2 linked regions of the Pelodiscus sinensis genome follow. The protein of the gene in region 1 binds, or shares a complex with, the protein of each later gene. Links are inferred from orthologs where the notes say so. Each region holds a gene or a part of one and is shown in the gene's direction. Other genes may lie near its edges.

Region 1 (3,747 bases):
TCCAAACATTTTCCCTTACCTATTCTTCCTTTGTAAGGGGCAAATCAGTTAAAAAAATCAGTATCATATTTTTCTCTTTCCATTTAAGATATCACGTGCTGCTTCAATAATAGCTGCCTCCCTTTTTCACAAATATCTGAAAACACTTTTCAAAGAAAAGTCTTCACCTAACAGTTTTCCATCTCTGAAAGTGGTTTTGAGTAAAAGCTCACTTTTCTACAGTTACTGTTTCATTCTTCTGGATTTAAAAAATGTTCCATTTAGTACAAAGGTCAGTTTAGTGTATCCTGACCTTGATGCAATCACAGTACATCTAAATTTTAAAAATCTAGCATAGTGGGGATGAAAAAGGAAAATCTTAAAAGACCACAAACTATCTCTATGCTACAAAAAATACTATGAAGTACAATTCTGCCTTAGCTGTCATGAGTATTACAGTTTCTCACTCTTTTCTGCAGCAAGCAGCAGAACTTGCAGAGGAGCCAGTTTGCCCTCTAATTAAACTATTTTAAAATGGCATGTTTAAAATGGGGCATTGTAAGTGCTGCAGCCCTGATAATGGCGAGGCAGTGATGAGGACGCACCATCAGCATTACTCAGGGGTTGGTTAGGGCTAGTTTCTAAAATGCTGTTGCTGGGTGCAGAGCCCACAGCTGAAACCAACACCCTGAGGATTTGTTTTGACAGCGTGCTGTGCCCTGCAATCATTATGGCGCGAGAAGGAAAATGTTCTGCGAGGTCAATCAGGGCTAGGTCCTGCTAAGCCACCTGAAGCCCCAGGACCTAGGCAAAGTCCTTCTCCCCGCCAGAGCTGGAGGGGACATGGGCTAGCGCCCAGCTTTAGTCAGCAGAGGCGGGGCACGGTACCCTTCTCCCCTCGCTTGACATCGACAGGTGGGTGGTAAGTAGCTCAGCGCTGACGCAGGCCACCCCCTCGAGTGACACCACGTGCCAGAGCGCAACGGCTGCCTGGTTCTGACTGACTAACCGCCAAGTCTCGCGCCCAGGCTTCCCGCGCGCTCTTTTTCCAAAAGGGGTGGGGAATCCCTGGGCGCGAAATCCCCGCGCATGCGCGCCACACGGAGGGACGGTGTGGAGGGGCCACTAATCTCTCCGCGTGGGCCCTATGCGAGGCACGTTACACCTCATGACGTCAGCGCGCAGCGTCACGCCGGTGGGACGTACAAAAGTGTAAGTTTCAATTTTTTTTTCTGCCAACGGAAATTTTTTTTCCAGGGCCGCATCCGCGTGCTGAAGCTGGGGAGGGGCGGCTGCGCCCCCCCGCCCCCACACAGGGAGCCCTCCGCGAGGAGGGGGGAGCCTGCGCAGGTGTGCAAGGAGCAGGGGGCGCAGCAGAGGGACCCCAAGAGGGAGGATGGAAGGGAGGGAGAGTCGGGGGGCAGAGAAGAGTGAGGCTGACAAGGGGGGAGGGGCGGGATCCCCTGATTGGGGGCTGGCGCCGTTGACAGCCCTGCCTTCTCTCTTACCCTCCCCCCCGTTTGGAGGCCCGCGAGCTGCACATGTGCAGTCGGCGCCCCCCCCCCCCTCCCGCCGCCGTGTCTCCGCAGAGCGGCGCTGTGTGGGAGCGGGCGGGGGACGCAGGGAGCCTGCTCTCCGCCGGCGGCCGCTCAGGTGCAGGCACCGTTCGGCGTGTGGGAGGCGCTGCCGCACCGGGGGATGGGTTTGGGCGGGACGTGGGGAGGGGGCGCGGGATTTACCCGGGGGGGGGGTTCCCCATACTGGGGGATGGTGCTTCTCCTGTGGCAGCCGAGCCCAGCGCCTCGCGCGCCCACTCGCTAGCTTGGGCGGGCTGGTGGGGCCCCGGGTGAGGGGCTGGTGGGGCTGCCAATCTGTGAAGAGCCTCTGAGGCGCCCCGGCCTCCCCACGCACCAGCGGCCCATCTGGCTGCGCCCGCCGGGGCTGTCAGGGGACTGGCCCCAGGGGCCTAGTATTGTGGGGAAGCTGACAGGTCCGGCATAGGGGCCTCCGGCCTCGCCTGTGGGATGGTGTTGCGGGGAAGGGGAAGAGCTGGACTGTGGCCGACCCACTGTGGGCTTAGGCTGCCAGTCCAGGCCGCCTGCTGGGCTCCTCCGTGTATGTTTGGGATGAGGAAGGCCTTGGGGCTAGGGTGCGAGCTGAAGGGAGGGTCCTTTCTCTGGGGGGATTGTGAGGCCTTTCTCCCAGAGTAAGTTGTTGATGCCAGAAAACTTTTTAAATATTACGAGACCATGCTCTAAAGTAGAGGAATGTCTGCATGCAGTTAATAAATGATGGACTTTTGCAGTTCACTGTTACAGCTAGTGTTGTCTTGACTTTCTTTGTAGAAAATATCACAGTCCCTGTTTCCTTCTGTGGGTGTCAGTCATTTAAGAGACTTGATTTCTAAGCATTGGTAACATGGCAAAAGATGTAAGTATATTTGTTTTGTATTATCTGGGAACATGAGTGATAGAATATTTCCATGTGCTTAAGACAGAGCAGGCCATACATACCACAACTGGCATTAGGGGAAATGAAGACCTCCTTTTTGTCTCTTATTTAAAATGGGTTTGCAGTGTATCTGTTTTCACATAGAAAGTTTAGAATAGACTTACTAGCTTTTGTATTACAAAAAGGCTTAACGTTTTACACAATATGCACATTTGTTCTGTGCAACAAAACAAAAAGCCACCATCTTGCTGAAAAGCATTTGATGCAGGCATTTTGCATACTTGTAATAGAGATTGTGAAAAGCAGTTTTCACTATTGTGCTGGGTAATTAAAGTATTGTTCAATCTGAGCATTGTCAGTGAAGTACCTTTCATTAAGTTACCTGCTTGTTGATAGAACAGGTACACTAGAAATGCCACTCAGTGTTGACCTGCTGTTAAACTATGTTTAGGAAATATCACATGTTTAAGGATAAGAGGTTCTTTCAGTCTCTATGCTTATTTTTGCCTTTCTTCTGAAACAGACAAAAGGAACCTAGTTAAAGTCAGTAGCAATTAGACTATGTGGGGAGGAAATAATTGCTTCAACCTATCCGATTCAAGCCACTAACATAGAAGTGGGTGATAATAAGAGGGTCTGTTTATTGAGCCATCTATTCTTATAGCTCCCATTTTTAATACCTCTTCATCAGAAAAAATACTAGCATGTATTTAAGTTAGTGAACAGATTAGTTTATGATTAACAGTCCTCATTTACTATCATGAGACTTCTGTATTTAGATGTTACATTGCTAATAAAGTACTCTGGTACTCTAACTTTTGCATAGTAATGTTTTGCATGTTCTCTGAAAAACACAGCATTTTTAAAAATTGTCCACCCGGGTACATTTGTCAGTGAAACTTTTATGTTTGTCACAGGAATGTTAAAATGTGGTTAATTGACCCTGCTGGAGCTCTTGTACATTTCAAAGGAGGAATGCGGAACTCCAGGTACAGCCTGGGGCCAGTGGACTCCTGGCTGCACACAGGTGTGCTTGCTTTGAAATGTACAAGAGTCCCCAATGAGGGTCCTTGTTCATTTCAAAGCCTTGGTCAGCAGGGGGGCTCCCCAGAGGACCCTGGTTCTTTGTAGCTTTCAGCAGAACCATGGATCAGCAGGGGACTCCCCAGCTGAGTCCGGGTTCTGGGGAAATGCTGTGTGGAGCCTGGGGTCAGCAGGGGACTTCCAGCTTCAGTGAGTTAAAGGGGCAGTGCAGCACAGCTGATCCCCCGGCTCAGCTGTGCAGTATTGCCACTTTGAAGTACCCCTTCCTCTTCC
Region 2 (3,747 bases), on another chromosome or scaffold:
GCCGGGACTTAAAAACCTCTAGGGATGCAGCATCTACCACCTTCCTAGGTAACCCATTCCAGTGCTTCACCACTCTCCTAGGCTGTCTCTACACTGGCATGATTTTGCGCAAATACTTTTAACGGAAAAGTTTTTCCGTTAAAAGTATTTGCTCAAGAGAGCATCTACACTGGCATATGCCTAGGGTTAGGGTTAGGGAAAGCATCCGTGCCAGTGTAGACGCTTTCCTGTGCAAGAAAGCTCCAATGGCCATTTTAGCCATCAGGCTTTCTTGCGCAAAAAATCAAGTTGGCTGTCTACACTGGCCCTCTTGTGCAAGAATACTTGCACAAGAGGGCTTATCCCTGAGTGGAGCGTTGGAGTTTTTGCACAAGAAGCACTGATTTTGTACATTACAAAGTCAGCGTTCTTGTGCAAATACTGCCCAGTGTAGCTAGGCGCCAAGATTTTGCGCAAAAGCAATTGCTTTTGCGCAAAATCATGCCAGTCTAGATGCAGCCCTAGTGAAATAGTTTTTGCTAATATCCACCCTAGACCTCCCCCACTGCAACTTGAAACCATTGCTCCTCATTTTGCCATCTGTCACTACTGAGAAAAGCCTCTCTCCCTCCTCTTTGGAACCTCGTCAGGTAGTTAAAAAGCTGCTATCAAATCCCCCCTCAGTCTTCTCTTCTGTAGACTAAATAAACCCAAATCCCTCAGCCTCTCCCTATAGGTCATGTGCTCCAGCCCCCTAATCATTTTGGTTGCCCTCCAGTGGACTCTCTCCAATGTGTCCACATCCTTTCTGTAGTAAGGGGCCCAGAACTGGACACAATACTCCAGGGTTACGTCTACTCTATAGCCTCTTGCACAAAAACGTATGCAAATGAGGCAAAGGGTGGAATATCGCCACGCCTCGTTAATGAGGCTCGATTTTTGCACAACAGGCTTTTGTGCAAAAAGGAGCCATGTAGGCTACTGTGCAAAAAACCGAGCCTCATTAATTATGCAAATGAGGTGTGGCGATATTCCATGCTTCACCTCATTTGCATATATTTTTGCGCAAGAGGCTATAGTGTAGCCATAGCCCAAATGTGGCTTCATCAGTGTTGAATAAAGGGGAATAATTACTACTTTGGATCTGCTGGAAATGCTTCTCCTAATGCACACCAGTATACCATTAGCCTTTTTGGCTACAAGGGCACAATGCACTCCCCCCACCCCACCCATCTTGAAGCACGAATAACAGCCCCCAAATACATGAGTCCCAGCATCAGCCCCTGCTCTCTAAAAATGGTTCCAGCAGCCCAGGTGAGCGCTGCGTGACCCCCGCCCGGACAGCACGGACCTCGCCTTGCCCCATCTCTGCGGCAGCGGGCCAGGCCTGCGCTAGGGAGCCGGGGGCTGCTCGCCCGCTGGACGGCCGGCGCAGAGCGCTCGTGGGAGGACTGCCCCTTCCCTCCCCGCCCTCTCCAGCCGTGGGGCAGCCCCCGTCCCTCCCCCACACCCCCCCCCAGCCCGTCTCCAGGCAACCGCGGCGGGCAGCGTCACTTCCTCCCTCTTGCGGCCTCCCCGGCCCTGGGGCTCGGATTGTTGTGGCCGGGCCGCCCGGGACACGTGGTGCCGCAGGCAGCCGCCGCCGGAGAAGCCCGGCTCGCTGGCCGGCCGGCCGCGGGGAGCGCGGGCAGCAGCATGGCCGCTCTGGCAGAGGCGGTGAGCAGCAGCGCCGGGGTCCCGGCGGCAGGCGGCAGCAGCCGGCACGAGAAGAGCCTGGGGCTGCTCACGACCAAGTTCGTGTCGCTGCTGCAGGAGGCCAAAGACGGCGTGCTGGACCTGAAAGCGGTGCGTGGCCGGCCGGGCCGGGGGGGAAGTCCCGGACGACTTGGGGGGGGGGCTCACCTGTCCGGGGGGCGTGAGGAGGTTGGCGGGGGCGGAGCGGTGAAGGGGCTGGGGGAGGCCGGACCTGTGTAGCTTGCTGGTCTGGTGCGTGGGAGGGTCCTTGCATGGGTGGGCCCACCTGTAAGGGGGGTATGTGGAAGGGAAGTCCCTGTGTGTGGTAGATCTGGGTGGTCTTTGTAGTGGAGATGTACATCATTGGAGGGCTTATGTTTTGGGGGTAGGGAGTCTGAAGCTTGTCTCTGTGTCGGGATTGAACGCGAAAAACGCTTGGGGATCTGACGCCCAGAGAGTGTACGAGTTTTTCTCATGGACACATTCTATTTCCTATAGCCATGCAACTATGACTTTCCCCCTTCGCTTTCCAAAGAGAAACTAAAAAGTGTGTTAAGACGCCTTTTTCAGTAACAATGGGCTATAGTCGGCAGGGACTGAATCAAAAACAGGATCCTCTCCCAAGGGACAGGGGTGAGGGCATGAATTTTTTTTTCCTTTCCTGTTCTTCTGTAGGTTTGGGGCTGGCTTGTATTGTTGCTGAGTTGCCTGCATGTTGTCCACTTTTTCATTGGTATGTAGCATCTCTTAGTGGCATGGTAGTGTAGTAATAGTGATGATTGATATTTAAAGCTGCAAGATTCCTACATAGAAAAGCAAAGAAAATTTGAAGAATGAAAATTAAGGCTCAGGTTTAATTTTTATTACTTCTTTCACTACATCCTGGCAGGTTTTCTAGATTTAAGTCAGCAACTGGTTTCTTATACATTTTGCTATCTGAGTAGTTAAGTATGAGTAGAAAATTGTGGCAAACTTTGTTAGAGCAGTCTGTAGTGAATAACTAACTAGTACTGTAATGACCAGTCAATCAAACTAAACATCTGTTTAGCTCAGTAGCTACTGTAAAGTAGTTACAGATTTCTCTATTAAGAAAAGTAGAAACCAAGTGGCATACCATAGCTATGTTTTCAGGGAGTTAGCTAGCCCCACAGAACAGATGTGAAAGTGTAACCATGTACATGGCTAACTTGTCCCTTAAAGTTCATGGTTCCACACGGGGCTTGGTATGTCTGGGGAGCTGGCTTAAAAACCGGCTACCAGTGTGCACCAACTCCCAGGGAGCTACCAGCCCCCTCTGTCTCCCTCCCCTCTCCTGCTGTGACTGCATCTGATACAGATGGAGCAGCTGAGGGTGGGGGAGGTCAGGTGGGGGGGAGAGGTAGGCAGGAGCTGGTACATGTTTGGAGCCTGCTTAAAAGTTGTCTCCCCGCACACACTAGCTCTTGGGGAGCCACCTCCTGCTCCATGTGTGCGCACATTTTGACATCTCTAGTCTACACTACTAGGGGAAGATCACTCTAAGTTATACAACTTCAGATACGTGAATAATGTTACGGAAGGCAACATACTTATATCTACTTAATGTTGACAGGATATGCTCTCAAGGTATGTCTACACAGCAAGGCTAAAGTTGAATCAAGCTATGCAACTTCAGCTATGTCAATTGTGTAGCTTAAGTCGAAATAGCTTAATTTGGCTTTTGGCGCTGTCTACACAACAGCAAGTCGAAGGAAGAACAACACTTCCTTCGACTTCCCTTACTCCTCATGAAATGAGGGTTTATTGTGAATCAGAGTAAGAAATCCTCCAGCTTGACATTATTTCAAAATAAAGGCTTGTAGTATAGACACTCACTGTGTTGTTTCAGAATAATGTGAGTTATTCCGAAATAATAATGCTGTATAGACGTATCTTCATTGACTCCCCTTGCAGTTCTTGTTGAATTGGCATACCGGAGTTGAAGCTAAGGTGATCAGTGATCGATTTATCATATCTTTAGTAGCCTCAATAAATCGACCCTTTTGGATCAATCAC

Evidence for each region. Proteins that work in one complex are often made in the same cells at the same time.
Region 2: the proteins of TFDP1 (region 1) and E2F5 are in contact, whole or in part, in a crystal structure (PDB 5TUV), measured with the Homo sapiens proteins. The link is inferred for Pelodiscus sinensis from reciprocal best matches to the Homo sapiens genes TFDP1 and E2F5. Residues at the interface, in NP_009042.1 of Homo sapiens: Glu201, Cys202, Leu205, Glu208, Arg209, Arg212, Leu213, Arg215, Ile216, Lys219, Gln220, Leu223, Leu226, Ile227, Gln230, Phe233, Leu236, Val237, Arg239, Asn240, Arg241, Arg249, Pro253, Ser255, Val256, Ile257, His258, Leu259, Pro260, Phe261; in NP_001942.2 of Homo sapiens: Val126, Arg129, Leu130, Lys134, Glu136, Ile137, Leu140, Glu141, Glu144, Leu147, Asp148, Gln150, Lys151, Leu154, Gln155, Ser157, Ile158, Val161, Met162, Ile166, Asn167, Asn168, Arg169, Phe170, Ser171, Tyr172, Val173, Thr174, His175, Asp177.

Annotation. Positions count from the first base shown.
Region 1 is NC_134711.1:237,052,233-237,055,979, reverse strand, and holds the start of TFDP1 (transcription factor Dp-1), read left to right. Parts: upstream 1-1,046; 5' UTR 1,047-1,191; exon of another isoform or gene 1,192-1,329; intron 1,330-1,489; exon of another isoform or gene 1,490-1,632; intron 1,633-1,945; exon of another isoform or gene 1,946-1,969; intron 1,970-2,324; 5' UTR 2,325-2,397; coding exon 2,398-2,409; intron 2,410-3,747. UniProt on the Homo sapiens protein: Can stimulate E2F-dependent transcription.
Region 2 is NC_134712.1:46,268,631-46,272,377, reverse strand, and holds the start of E2F5 (transcription factor E2F5), read left to right. Parts: upstream 1-1,509; 5' UTR 1,510-1,674; coding exon 1,675-1,824; intron 1,825-3,747.